3 linked regions of the Drosophila melanogaster genome follow. The protein of the gene in region 2 interacts with the protein of the main gene of each other region in a pairwise test. Each region holds a gene or a part of one and is shown on either strand. Other genes may lie near its edges.

Evidence for each region. Proteins that work in one complex are often made in the same cells at the same time.
Region 1: the proteins of REG (region 2) and CG17378 interact in a two-hybrid assay, tested with the Drosophila melanogaster proteins (one large-scale study listed by BioGRID).
Region 3: the proteins of REG (region 2) and CG15382 interact in a two-hybrid assay, tested with the Drosophila melanogaster proteins (one large-scale study listed by BioGRID).

The regions. Positions count from the first base shown.
Region 1 is NT_033779.5:6,772,127-6,778,960, reverse strand, and holds CG17378 (uncharacterized protein), read right to left. Parts: upstream 4,921-6,834; 5' UTR 4,269-4,920; coding exon 4,074-4,268; intron 3,250-4,073; exon of another isoform or gene 3,179-3,249; coding exon of another isoform or gene 3,131-3,178; coding exon 3,067-3,130; intron 2,997-3,066; coding exon 2,883-2,996; intron 2,823-2,882; coding exon 1,535-2,822; intron 1,462-1,534; coding exon 1,367-1,461; intron 1,305-1,366; coding exon 1,228-1,304; 3' UTR 1,227-1,227; intron 1,166-1,226; 3' UTR 517-1,165; downstream 1-516.
Region 2 is NC_004354.4:13,210,507-13,214,912, forward strand, and holds REG (proteasome regulator gamma), read left to right. Parts: upstream 1-1,818; 5' UTR 1,819-1,886; intron 1,887-1,943; 5' UTR 1,944-2,082; coding exon 2,083-2,452; intron 2,453-2,649; coding exon 2,650-3,017; 3' UTR 3,018-3,902; downstream 3,903-4,406. Other genes in the region: sno (strawberry notch), read right to left, coding at 594-596.
Region 3 is NT_033779.5:2,154,023-2,157,306, reverse strand, and holds CG15382 (uncharacterized protein), read right to left. Parts: upstream 1,555-3,284; 5' UTR 1,525-1,554; coding exon 1,051-1,524; 3' UTR 517-1,050; downstream 1-516. Other genes in the region: AIF (apoptosis inducing factor), read right to left, coding at 2,410-2,834, 2,897-3,284.

The sequences.
Region 1 (6,834 bases), on a different chromosome or scaffold from region 2:
TATTTTCTGTCAGTTGTATTTAGTTTTAATTTATAAATGTTGAAACATGCCCGAAAAATTCTTTGTTTCCCGCACATCGCCTAGGCTTGTTCAATTTGTACAAAGAAGCAACTAAATAAATTATAATTGTTAAATGTATGCAAATCATGGAGAACGAAACATTTTGATCTAAGCTGAATGTCGATTATTTTTTTTTCAAACTGGAAAGTATTCAAGAACCTCTAAGTAGTGCAATTTTTAAAGCAACAACCACAGTAACTAAGAAATTCCAGTCTTATTTATGCGACTAACAAATCAAAATTTTAATTTATTTTAAACATATTTCATTCACACAAAAAAATAAAAAGAAGTTAAGCGAATAATGTTTTTGCGTTGTATCATTTTAATAAAGAACAGAGAATATAAGAATCCATATTGTGTTTTCGTTGACTTTCCTTCTTAAAAATCAATTACCTACTTTTAGGCGGACGTGTTGAAAGAAAAACTATTTTATAATAATTTTAATTAAATTTTTTTGAATTTCGTTAGACTTTTATTAATTTGAATGTATTAAACAATTGCGAAATATTATCTCTTTCATTACAAACATAGTTATAGCATAGTTATTGATCTTGATTTGTAACAATTTAAACTGCGATATTTTAACTATATGCACTGCATAATTTCATAGTATTTAGGTCTATATAAAGTAATCACAAAATATTATTATCACAATTTATGGATACACGTACAGTATTGGTTAAAGTGCCCTCTTATCATTCGCAGTACGGATGTTCTTGTAACTGGTTTTGATTCCAAACTTAATTTTGATATGCGATTCCAATTTGTTTAGCTACGTTGAAAATTGAACGATGACGTCTTTAGAAATCCCAATTTATTAACAACATTATATAATATTCGTCTTTATAGATGTTAAAATAAATACAAGCATTTCCCCATACATTCATTATATTTCAAATCCAGTTACAAGAATGACTATCGTATTAATATCTTTACGGTTACGACAACGCGAGTAAAAACACCAGATTTCAGATAAAACTTCATTGATCTGCTACTTTAGTTAGGATTAGTTTCGAGGTGTCGGCTGACTTAAGACAAAAGTTTAGCTTTAGTTGAGACGAAGATTGAAACTCGATTTTGTTAGGTACTTTTACAATTGTTACTGCTGTGAATTAAGAAAAAAAAGGGTTAGCAATTAATTAATTAATTGATAGCTGTTAAATCACCTCAGGCGTGTCGAGCTCCCCAAAGTTGCGTCTCATGGTACATTCGATATATATTGTCTCTGATTAGTTTGGCTTTATCTGGATGAATTGAAATCTATATTAGTTACTCCAATAATTTAGAAAACTTTAGATGCTTTTACCCTTGGATAGGTTATGGGCCACCACGTTCTTTTTCAGAAAGTCAAGGCACAATTCCTGGGATGTCCCCAGTGAGTGCATATTGCACGTCAATGCCCTGTGGATAAGTGTGTATTCCATAATAAACACTTTGGAAAAATGAAACATTTCCAGAATCAAGAAGAACTCACCCAAGCTGCCGAAATGCAATGTCCTCCTGGTCCCGAAGCGAATGCGCCTGGGTGAGACTGGTCTTGCTGGGCCTCCGGTTGGCTGGAATGGAACCAGTGCAGGCTTGAGCCGCCGGAGTGCCCGACTGTGCCGCCTGATGCGAGGAGCTGGAGGAGGAGTCGCCGCCCTGTTTGCGCTGCGACTTGGTAGGCGGGCCATCTGCAGTTCCCGCTCCTGATCCTGCTCCGGCAGCTGCCTGCCGTTGCTGCTGCTTCTGCTGTCGACGCTTTTGGCGCCTCATCTGGCTCTGACCCCGATGCTCCCGTTCCGCCTGCATGCCGTCGTGGAAGATTGCGTTCCAGAACCGCGCCTGCTGCCAGATGGGTTGCTGGCGCAGCGAGGAGAACAGGTACTCGCGATAAGGATCGCAGCCGGGCACCTCGACCTCGTGGTAGAAAAGGAAACAGAGGTTCATCAGTACCGCAGCCGGGCCATAATCCTCGCACTCGCTGCACTCAAACAGGGCCAGTGCAAAGTATTGGGCCAGACTGCCGAACGTGACCGAGTCCAGTCGCTTGGACTTGTGGCGCTGCTCGGTGAGAAAGCGGGTGAACCACAGTCGACCGATCTCCAGACGCAGCAATACGCCAAACTCCGACTTCAGCTCAAGATCAACGGCTCCCGGAGATCCGCCAAATAGCAGAGCGGTAAAGTGCTTCATAAACTCCTTGACCGGTTCCTCGCCCGCTCGGCAATCCAGGCTGATGGAGGAAGCCCATGAGGGCACCGAGTTCTGCGACTCCGATCGGATAAAGTGCCGCCAGTCGGTGGACTCCATGCTGGGGCTGGCCAATAGCTGATCCGGCTCATCGCGCAGGCTGGTCAGAGTGCTGCTGTTCGAGGCGCGACTGCGCGACGGAAGGCGCATCGAGTTGCTTCCGCCCGCCCACTGCTGCCGTCCTCCGGATCCCGCTCCCGCCTCCGTCGGCGGCTGAACATCTATGTGCGGCGGCACAGTGTCGCCCACTTCGCCGATCCTCTGGACATCCTTTTGCATGTCCATCTCGCTGCGACGGGCTCCTGCGATTGCCCTGGCCCTCTCATATCCGCCGGAGTGACGCGACTCTATGGAATCCGAGCGTGTGGTGCTGCTCACGTCATGAGAACGATTGGCCATATGCTCGGGCAGGGATACAGAGCTGCTGTCGTCGCTGCTGCTGGAGCTGCTCGAGGAGCCGGAGCTGGAGCGAAGGGGTGCACCCAGTTTGCTGGCCGCATGACGCCCACGTGATGGTTCCAGACGTGGCCCTAAAAATGAGTTGAAATATAGGACTCCGATGATTTGGTTTGTAGTTGTGTTGTACTTACTCGGTGCCAAATTGGGCTGACGATATCGTCCTGAGATGATCTCCTCGTGAGCTCGTCGCGCCTTCACACGTCGTCCTTCGAAGTCGATCTTGGTATAATCAATGCTCTCGTCAACTGTGAAGTAAAATCATATTGTATGCCCAAACTGTATTCGTTTGTATCTATGGTACTTCGCAGTACTCACACTTGGGTATATCTTCATCGTCATCGCAGTAATCAGAGTCGCTGGAACTGCTGCTCAGGGTCAGCTGTACGTAAACAAAGTAAAAGGCGCATTTCAAAAGAAAGTCGATCATATGTGGGGTGTACTGAATATACTTTCGAATATGTATATATCTGAGGCCTAATTGAGTCAGTTTGATTTACAACTGCCTGACGTATTTTGAAAAGGTTTCTACCTGCTATAAAAGGATTCCGCTAAGTTTTGGAACTCCTACAAGTGGTTCGTATCATACATTAGAAGCATGATAAATGCAATTTAAAAATCTGCAATGATTACTTAACACACAGTTCTGAATGATTGATAATCCAAGGAAAACATAGCTTTAGAAATATCGAAGGCTGCACGCCTTCCTTCTTCTCGGCTGCTGCAAATATAATTAATTTCAATCAAGGACAAGGCTGCCGAGCCCGAAGCGAGAGAAAGTCAAGTACAAGCGGAGCAGCAGAGAATGTACCCCCCCCCCCCCTTTTTGCATTTCTAGCCCCATCCATAGCCGGCACATGCCCCAAGCGCTGACTGGGATTGGGATTCGGGCCTCCCCACTGAAGGTCAACCGAGTGCAGCAGCAAAGCGGAAATAGCAAGAACAAACACAACGGCACAACAAAAGCATCAAAGTGTCAGTTGCTTCTGCTTTTGCAGCATAGACAGAACCCACACACAATCCCCTTTCCCCCCGCAACCACCAGCAAGCACCTCTTGTCGCGTTCATTACCAAGGCTGCCCCAACTGAGCCCTAGAGGTATGCGTGACCCACAGTCACTCGTGAGTCCATGAAATATGTCTATGGTATTTTATGTAATGAATCCTACATAGCATCTTAACAAAGTAATAACCAGCTAACGTAACTTAGTGCCAGGTTTAAAACAATCTTTAGTAACTAATCCCTAATTAGTACTACCATGACCCTTGTAGTATTTGTATCTTTTACCACGCTGCTCACGCTGTCATCACTAGTTGTAGTCATACCTTGTTCGATATTCCGTTGAGCAGCTCGTTGCTGTTGCCCAGCACGGTGAGGAACTTGGACTTGAGGGCTCCAATGCTGGGCGTCCGTTCCATGAACAGTTTGATCTTCGATCGCTCGCCGGCGAATCCGCCCGGCGGTGTTCCCGTTCCAGGCATTGCGCCCGGAGTGGGTGGCTGCGGCTTGGCATCCACCATGGAGATAGTGTCCTGCCCCAAGTCCACTGGAAGTACGATGTTCGGGCTCAAGGGACCTGCTGCGCGATGATGCAGTTCCTTGTGGCTAATTGGGAGCGGTCGTAGAGCGTTGCAACTGCTGATGCTTCTGGTATCGATTTTTCATTTGCCTGCATGTCATACACACTGGGTGAAGGTGAACATTGCACTGCAGTTTTTTTGGCGCACTTCATGTACTTTGCAAGCTTAAATTCTTGTACCTTAAATTCGTCACCCTTTTTGATTAATTTTCATTATTATTTTTGCCAATTTATGCAACTTTTTGCTAAGCAAACACTCAGCTTCTTTTGTTTTAAATATATACCTGATTGAATGATCGTAGGTTTTTGGGCTACTAAACTAGTATAGGGCAAAGTAATGTCAGGATAATCGGTAAATTATAAAGGCACTTTTTTAACGCTTAATTTTTCGCACGTACTGCTTGAGCGCCCAACTGGGATACTACTAGTAAATTCTCAATTCCCCTGGCCCACAACTACACACTCTCTCACACACACTAGCGCACGCACACGCCCCTTTTGTACACGCAACACGATGGCGGCAGGCTAACCGTAAATATTTTCCTTTGAGTTTTCCACTCGCGTCCATTGCCTGCAGCGAACATTTCGCGAATGCAGCCGGAAAATGCTGGCCAAAACTCAGGGGTTTCGTTAACATTCGAAGGGCTTTACGTTCGCAGCTGTTATCGATTGCAAGAAAATCTACATAATATCTACATGCCACTTCGAATAGAATATTGCTCGGGAAAAGCTCGGCCGGAAAATGGCGCGCGATTTCTACACAAGCGCTCATGGGAAAGCTTCCCGAATGCTTTGCAGTGGCCGAAGGAGAGGAACCCGGCATTTTAACTTGTTTACATACAGCTGACAGTCAGCTGATCCTGAAAACATCGGCTTGCGTCAAACGCGGCAAGGTCACTGCGTGGGCGGCCCACCCATTTTTGCAGGATGGTGGGCAAATGGTCTCCCAACCGAAAATGTGCGTGCCGGCAATTGTCGAACTTTGACTTTGTCGCGCAGCCAATTTATTATGCATTGTATTTATTTTTAGACCAGCTAGCTAGGAAAACCGAAAATGGACCCACCCACGGAGGCTTTAATTCCATAATTCCCATCCATCGTCCATCCATCGAAATTGCCACTCGATTTGCACCTCCGGCCGGCAGCAGGTGGCCCATGGCGATGCTTTTATTGCTGATACCATTTGTTCGATCCAAAATTAATAGATGTTCTTCTTTATTGTTAGCATTAAATGTGCAGAATTTGTTCAAGGCTAAACTGCGGGAGATCCCTTCAGATACTTGTTTTTCATAAATCATAATTATAGCTGGCGTGTATCCCGATGAACGATTCAGCGCTTTCCCCAGGCGCCACGGTTTTTTGGATAAAATATTAGATAAATAATAAGAATTAATGCGGAAATATTTATGTTATCTGAAATTCCATTGAACTTGAACTTTGGTAATGATATATGTAGGTACGCCATAAAGTTCAATAGTCGATCAGATCGCAGGACATCAATTCGATACAATTGTCATATTTTCATTCATGAAAAAGAAACGCAACAAGTAATCAGTTCCGTATAACAACGTAAAATGTTTAACAACAAATAGCTGAGAATGATATATATTCGAGAATTAATGATATTCACACACGCGACGGCGTCTCGCAGTCAAAATGTTCTATGCCGCTCGAAAACGATGTATTTATAAAACAACGCGAAAATGCTGAAAATAGGAAAGAGATGCGACTGATCGAGGATTGAGGGGATCACCAGGGGGAAACCGTACCAGACGAGACCAGAGGAGCACATAGATCTGCGTTGACTTCCTCCTACTCGGGCGACGACTGGGGACCGCGGACTGCAGTAAAAGTGCTGTTTAGAATCTGATTGAGATTTCAGTTCGCTGGGAGACGATCGTCGAACGAGACCGTAGCTGAATTTTCATGTCGCGCTGTGGCTAGATATCAGGAAAATATATATATCCCTATATATATATATATATATATATATATATATATATATATATATATATTCATGTGCTACCAGCTGGCAGTGGCAGTTTTGAGTGCGGCAAGACGCGTCAAGTGAAATCGAATTATGTAAGTGACCTCTGATTTCGCGGATATCCAACCGTTCATGGTCGATCGAATCCATTACGAAAGTTCAAAAGCCAATTTAAAATCACACCGCAATTAAATCGATCTCAAGTGTTCTAAATATAAAACTCAGCTAATTTTAAACGCGGAGAACGCTCTCCATGGGAAAGTTCAAGGCATTGGCCGGGATAAACAATCAAAGCGTAAAATAAAGTATACAAAATTAAATCAAATTTTTTAAGCTAATTTGCCAATTTGAAATAATGAAAAACTGTGAACTAAAAAAAAAAACGCAAATATAGGCAAGCCAAAGAAATGTTTAAAAATAGTTCCCACCGTTCGTTCTCCTATAAAAATAAAACTTTTTCCCTCGCCGCGTGAGTCTGTGTCTGTGAGTCAGCGTTGCGTTTGCCTCTTGCCAGGCCACT
Region 2 (4,406 bases):
GCCCCCTGAAAAATAGTTGTCATCCTCAATTCAATGATGCACCATAGACCCATAGCCCCATACCCCGCCCATGGTCTTAACCCACATGTTGCCCCTGAGTCGCATGGCCTTAACCCTAACCTAGCGCAACTTTTGTCGACTGAATTCGTTTAACTCGTGTGCGGGGGAAAAAACGCCAAAACTAAACTCAGCGTGTGTGCACGAAAGAGAGGGGCGAGCGCTAAGAGGGAGTATGAGAGGGAGAGAAAAACACATGGTTCCAGGCCACGCGAATCTGCGATATAAAATGCATCCTTAGAAATTACAGAAGAAAACAATTGCAGATAAAAAAAACAGCAACAACAACAAAATGGGTGGACGAGGAAAGAGCGAAAGGCGCAAGAAAAGGAGAAACAACAATTATTGAATGAGTTGGCTACTGCTCCTTCTTCTCATTATTATTCTCCTTCATCAGCTTCTGCAGCCGCTTTGTTTTTGTTTTATGCATGTGTGTGTGGGTAAATGTGAGTGTGTCAAAATTTAGCAACAAAGAAATTTATATTAAGTCATGCTATTGACGGCAACAACAAAAAAGCCAGCTAACTTAAACTTACCATTTTGATTCTCCTGCTTACTGCTAACGGTGGTTGTTCTTGATGTTCGTCCCTCCGATGGTTCTTGTTGTTGTTGTTAACCACAAAAAAAAAATCAACAGACCGCGCACCCACGCGTTTTTCGTTCTTTTCTTGGTTTTTTTTTGTGTTTTGTTTAAAATTTATATATTAATTTCTTTTTAACAATGCGTTTTTGATGCTGTCAACGGAACAGAACAATTGTGCGGCAAGTTAGATAGCAAATGCAGCAAATATAAAAGGCTGGACTCCGCAATTTTCAGCGCGTTAGAAATGTTTTTGTTGTTGTTGTTCTTCCTGTTGTTATTGGTGTTGCGATAATGACTGCATGCGTGTGTGCATGCGTGTGTGTTGTTGTTGTTGAGTGTGTTTTTCTTTTGTTGCTGCACGCGGTATTTCGCTTCGGATAAATTTGTTCGTATGCGTTGTACCGCGCAATACACGCAAAACGAGGAATCGGAATAAAGGAGGAAGGAAACGAGAACGAGACGAGAATGAAGCGACGAAGCCGAAAACACACGTAACATGCCAACTATCGCAACTAACGAGATGCCAACTAGATAGAGCTGGAAAAACATCGATGAGAATCGATAATGGTGAAGCGAGAAAACGTCAGTTTGACGATTATTGATAAGAATGCCGATGTATACTAAAACTTATATTTGGGCACACTTATTTATAGCGTGTTTGCTCTAAAAATATTAATAGCTTAATATTACTTATAATATATATATATGGAAAATATTTTAAAAATATAGATATTTAAATGAAAACATTTTAAATTGCACAAAGGGAGACATAATAAACTTACTTGGTATTTAAACAAATCTATCGGTCTGGCACGCGGTGCACACAAGACTATCGATAAATGGCGCGCGTCTTATTTCTTTATATTTCATGATATATATCCGTTAAATTCTAATCACGTTACAACAAAGTATATGCAAGTTTAACATGGTAAATGAGAAGCGAGCTTCAGCTGTTGCATTTAAATAAATGATGCCAACTGCAATGTACATTAATGCATTTAAATATGTTTTGCCAACTTTAATGTTCAGCTAATTTGTTTATGAAACTGAAAGTAATTAGAAGACTTTCAATCTAAAAAAAGTATAGAAAAAATATATATTGACATTCAAGATATTTAAGATACTTGTGGGGTATTAATTTGCAAAATTTCTGCAAACTTCGACGCTATCGATAAGCATCGATTATTCTTTTTCTTCCACCTCTAGCACCACATGCGTGTTGTTGCTTGGGCATCAAAATTTGTCGGTAAGTCTGGTTTTCCCGCTTTCAATTTCGCAATCCGCCGACACAAGTCCCTAAAAGTCCGCCGATTTCAGACGGTCCGCGTTGCTGATTGTTATTGAGAAGATAAGGAACGAGAAGAACCGGTACTACGCCAGGAGACAGGACTCAGGATCAAAGGCTTCCACGGACACGAAAAGGAATCCACATAGCTAACGAAATGCCTAACGACACTGTGGTAAAGGTGCAGGAGTACAAGGACTCGTTGATCCTCAAGGCAGAGCTGCTAATCACCAAGGGGTTCCCGGAGAATATCGTCCGGCTGAACGAGCTGCTGGCCACGCCGATCTTCAACGAGCGCAACTTCGAAGAAGTGCACCAGGACCTCAACATCCCGGTCCTGCCGCCTCTCCTGGTTAAAAACGAGTTGGAGGATCGTGACAGTCTGCCCACCAAGCGCCAGCGCGTGGATGTCATCGTCTCTGGGCAGCCTGTCATGGGTCTGCCCGCCGGTACAGTGCCGTGCAACAAGCCGCTCTGCGAGATGATCAAGGTCGTCAAGCCTATCATCAGGAAGCTTGTGGAGGATTGTAAGTACACCGTATATTCAAGCGTCTCAACCTAATAAATGTTTTTATGCTATTCAAGAGCCCCTTCAATTTTCCTAAAACAATGAATTCCAAGAATTTTTACATTCGAACGGTACAAATGCCAGTAGCTAAAGTTTTGCCTGACATTAAGCTTTTTAATGAATACCTAGTAATTTCTGAATTGATTTCTTTTGCAGCCAATCTACTTAAGATGTGGATCTCCTTTATGATACCCAAGATCGAGGATGGCAACAACTTTGGCGTCTCCATTCAAGAGGACACGCTTGCCGAAATTCAAACTGTGGAATCCGAGGCGGCCGCCTTCTTTGACCAGATATCGCGCTATTTCTTGTCGCGCGCCAAGGTGGTGTCCAAGGTGGCCAAGTATCCGCACATCGATGATTATCGGCGCGCAGTCGTCGAACTTGACGAGAAGGAGTACCTCAGCTTGTGGCTGGTCGTTTGTGAGGTCCGCAATCGCTACTCCTCGCTGCACGACATTGTTATTAAGAACCTCGAGAAGCTAAAGAAGCCGCGCTCCTCAAATACCGAAAGCCTGTATTAGGCTAGGTATTTCCGAAGCCCGAGCCTCAACTTTTTTTTTTCCTTTCCATCATCTTACTTTTCAATCAATAATCAGCCCGTAGAGCGGACGGTCAGCAATTCTTGTCGCTACTCAAAAAGCTAAGATTTTCCAATTCGGTTTACAAACATCAAAATTCTTTAATTGAAGAGCAGTGATTGAACAATAGCTGTAGCCTAACTACCATCAACTATTAATCCATTTGTACTACGTCTAGAATGTAATGTTGAGATTGGCGTACAATACAAGAAACCGATGCTGTATAGATTCCACTAATAGCTATAGCTATGCATAAAAAGAATAGGCGAGCTCCATTGACACATTTTTTCAACATTTCCTAATGTAAATTTATAACACGGGCGCCCCTCATACGGAAAATGTCCTTAAAAATGTGTGAAATATAAATCTTTATAAGTAATTCGCTCCGAATAGGTAACACTGTGCTTGTTTTCTTGTTTTACGTATTGACTATGGGTTCTACTTTGGGGATTGATATCTATCGCAAAATCGAAACAGGCGCCCAGACATTTAATAAGGTGGAAATTATTGCATTCGATGCGGCCAATCGAAAAAGACAACCTTCTGATTTAACAGTTCAGAAAATTCTTAACGTTACTATGAATTAAAAATGCCCGCCAAAATGTCACATAGTAAATTCTTTTGCGTTCGATATTTGTTTAAAACTGGAAAAAAAAACAAGAATTAAATATTGCTTACCAAATCTACCAATTCTGTATATATGCACAATTTCTTTAAGTGTGTTTGCCAGACAGCTGCAATGCTATAGCTGCCTGCTACGGCACTTCGGTTCGAACATGTTCGCTTCAAACGCCCGCCAAACAGAAAATTCAAAACACCAAATGGTTTAAAAAAAAGGAAGTGTATATTGAATAAATCAAGAACATAATTACTATTTACAGCTAGTACTATCGAATTTATATTTACAACTAATTTAACTACATCTCGACCCCATACATACAAAAACATACATAAAAAACTAACATCTCTAGTTTTTTTCTCACAATTTTAAAAACTATCACTTAGAATAGCTGACGGAAAACAAACAAAATAAGAATATTCTTGCTGGTGTGTGCTAAATTTAGTTGCGTGGATTATTTATAGTAATGCATTAAGTTAGTGCTAATACTTTCGATTTCTTTTTTTTTTATTTAATTATTTTCTTTTGATCCTAACTCGTGTCCGGTAAATTGGACTTTCGATTCGATTTCGAGGCACTTTTAATTTGTTGTTGGCAGTGGTTAAGTATATATTCTATATTCGGAATTTTCTCGTCGTTCCCTACAACTTAGCCTGTAAGGCTTAAATCTATATATGACAATAACATTTTTCACAAAGATTATCAACGTTTTG
Region 3 (3,284 bases), on a different chromosome or scaffold from region 2:
TTTTTGTATACAACAAGACAAATTGATTTCGTGTGATAACAACAGAATTATCTTTGATTCACATTGGCTGAATGCTAACGAAACCAGAGCAGTTCCAAAAAGCCATCCTGCAACAGTTTGGCGATCCTTCGTGCGAGGATGGGTCTGCTCTTGCTTCAAGATCAGCCTGGAAAAAGAGCTTTCAAAATTCAATTTCAATTGAGCCCCTAGCCCTAGATACACTGCAACAAGAAACACGGATAGAAAAACATTGGCTTCCATTTTAATATAGCAATGATGATACACACAAGCATATATGTATACACATTAGTTTTCTATTGCTCTTAATTTTATTTTTATTATTTGTACGCTAGTTTAAGTGGCTGCAATCGCTGTGGCAGCAAATGAAGGTGTTCATTTAAGCATTAACAACTTTAGTTTGTAAAACGCTTACGATCTTACCACCACACTTCCACAACCCACCACCACCCACAACGCACTCACCCGCTAAAAACACAATGAAACAATAGAAAATGTACATTTGAAGCACTTTATTAATTACATTAAACGGAATGAACAGAGTTAGGAGAAGATATCATCGCTGCACGTTCATACAATTAGCCTGTAGTGCAACTGTAATTATTAATTATTGTGTAGATCTACGCTAAAGTTAATTTTCTATTTGTTTTTCGTACGCCTTAAGTTTAAACACCGCCAATAGCTAATAATTAGCACTCTAGTGTCGCCACAATACCTGTTCTTCCATTGAAAACGTTATCTTTCGATCAATACATAATTTATATATGTATAAAAAAGGAAACAAATTTATATGCAATAAATAAATTGAAAACTGAAATCCAAGATCCCAAGGATCGATCGCCTTCATCTTTCTCGGGACTGTTATATACTGGGCTACATTTGTTTAAGGATTTCGTTTCGATCTTTTCTGCAATCGTGCAATTCACTGTGGCGTTTTTTGCGAAGATTTCTAAAATCTTGATTTGTGTAAAATTACAAATGTAGAATTGGTTTCAGGCGGTTATCCTAGGATACATAGTTAAACTTTTTTTTTTAGATAAACTCCTGATTGTCCAAAAACTCTCGAATCATATTTCTGCAGGACTTAAGCAAGGTCCTGTTGCAGTTTCGCTCCTTACTGGGAATTGGAGTCCTCGTCTTGGCCTTGACTATCGACTTGTTGCTCACTGAAGTCTCGGATTTGGCCGGAGTCAGGGATCTGCGGAGGATGTGCGATGGTATGGAGCGCTTCTTCAGCGGCTGGCTGGCGACTGGCGGACGAACAGTCTGATCTTTTGGCGTCGTGTTGTCAGCAACTGCCGGCGGTGGAGTCGGGGAACAGGACTCCGTGTAGGTTATAATGTTATTGCACACTTGTCGATCGTATTGGTAGCGGAGCAACAAGAGAGCCGCAGCCGCCTCCAGTTCCAGAGCACTGTGGTTGGCCATGGCTACGTCGGCTGCGTCGGAATCTCTTACTGGCGAGGGAGTCGCCTGTTTGCGTTTATTCAACATGCGGTACTTCATGATTAGACTGTCGAGAAGGAACTGATGTCCTGCTTGTCTCAGGGCAAAGTTTATATATCCCAAGGATGTACCTGCTTATGGGCCACCCGTTCTCGGGCTCTACCTACCAATTGGTCGGTAATCCGAGTGGCCCTAATAAGTAACCACCTTTGGCACAAGAAGTCAGGTAGGATCCTACTTCAGCGAAAATAATATTTCGCGAATTTTATTGATCCTCGCTATATTCAGCTAATCCAGCCTAAAACCCTAAACCAGGTGCTCGTCTTTTATAAGGCAGATGGTTTAGTCAAATTCTGGGAAAATTCCAAAAAAATATGTACATTTAAATTCTGTGCCGTTGTGAGACAACTCGGACAATAAACAAATGGGTTATATGATTGAAGTAAAAAAAATAAGTTCCAAAGTTCCTACGATTTATTTAAATAAGAATCAAAGCAAAATCTCTTAGGATTAGTTAAATAACGGGTGCCTCAGGATCAAAAAGCGGATTTTTCAACACCGAAAATGAATAATTTGAACAGTTTAGTTGGTACGGTGAATTTTTTGTCAACAACTTTCTGGTGCTTGGTTTATTACGAAAGTTACACACAATTCAACAGAGACCCGCTTGTCTACGACTTTTCAATATTTACACGGAGATATGCACTTTGCTGCTACATAACCGAATCAATGTCGTTGACTACAAAATAAGGTTTATTCCAAAAATAATAAAACTAAAATTTCTGTTGCATTGCGTCATTGCCGTTCGTATCTAGTTGCAGTTGCAAATGTACACAGTAAACACAGTTAAAGGCATTCGGGTTGGATAGGTTCTGTTCGGTGCGTGCTGATAAGCATATCAGGGTAGCCAGATCTTCTCCATGGTCCCTCGGGACTCGCTGTTCTCTACGCGTGAATCTCGAACAGTTTGGCCACCTCATTGAGGTCATCGTACTTCTTATTCTGATTGATTATTGTCCTAGCTAAGCCTATCCGATTGAAGAGGTTCCACAGCAGGATGCCGACGATCTTGTCGTTCTTCAAGTAGAATATTACACCCTTGCCATAGTTGCCCGCCTCATCGGGATCACAGGTAACGCCATCTTGGCTAGCCCCGGCATCAGATTTTGACGACTGGCTGGAACTCGTACTGGTCTCCGGCACGTCGGAATCACTAGACTCAGACAGTTGGTCAACGCGCGTGGCGGATTCCGAGGGCAGGGCGAACACACCAACGGTGGGTAGCGAGGAATCCACCAAGCCAATACCCTCGTATCCGATCTCTGGACCTAGATCGGACCAAAACATGCTCTGATGTTGATAAGGTTTCTCTGCAAAAGGTACGGCGAACATTATGATCGATCGGTTATTAACTTTAAGCCCAGTAACTTACTTGCTCCCGTCATGTTCTCGCCGGCCAGCCGACCAGAGACCACCGAGTGATCATGGTGCTCCACCCGTCGCCTGCCCAGCAGAGGATCGAAGAAGCAGGAAGCATCACCGGCCACGTACAGGTTCCGCCTGGCCTCCAGCTCTGCATTAACCACAAAACCGCCGAGACTTCTGTCCACCTCTAGCCTGCTGGGTCCCGCGAGATCCGTGTTTGGCGTGCAACCCACGCAGACCACCACCACGTCCGACATCAAAGTCATTCCATTGTTTAACTCCAACTTTAGATTGGTTTCATCGCGAACTGCCGAGCGAATGCTGGCGTTGGGGATGACGCAGACACCCTGGGCTTCCATCTTTGCCGTCGTCCAGCGACTCAAGTAGTTTGGAAG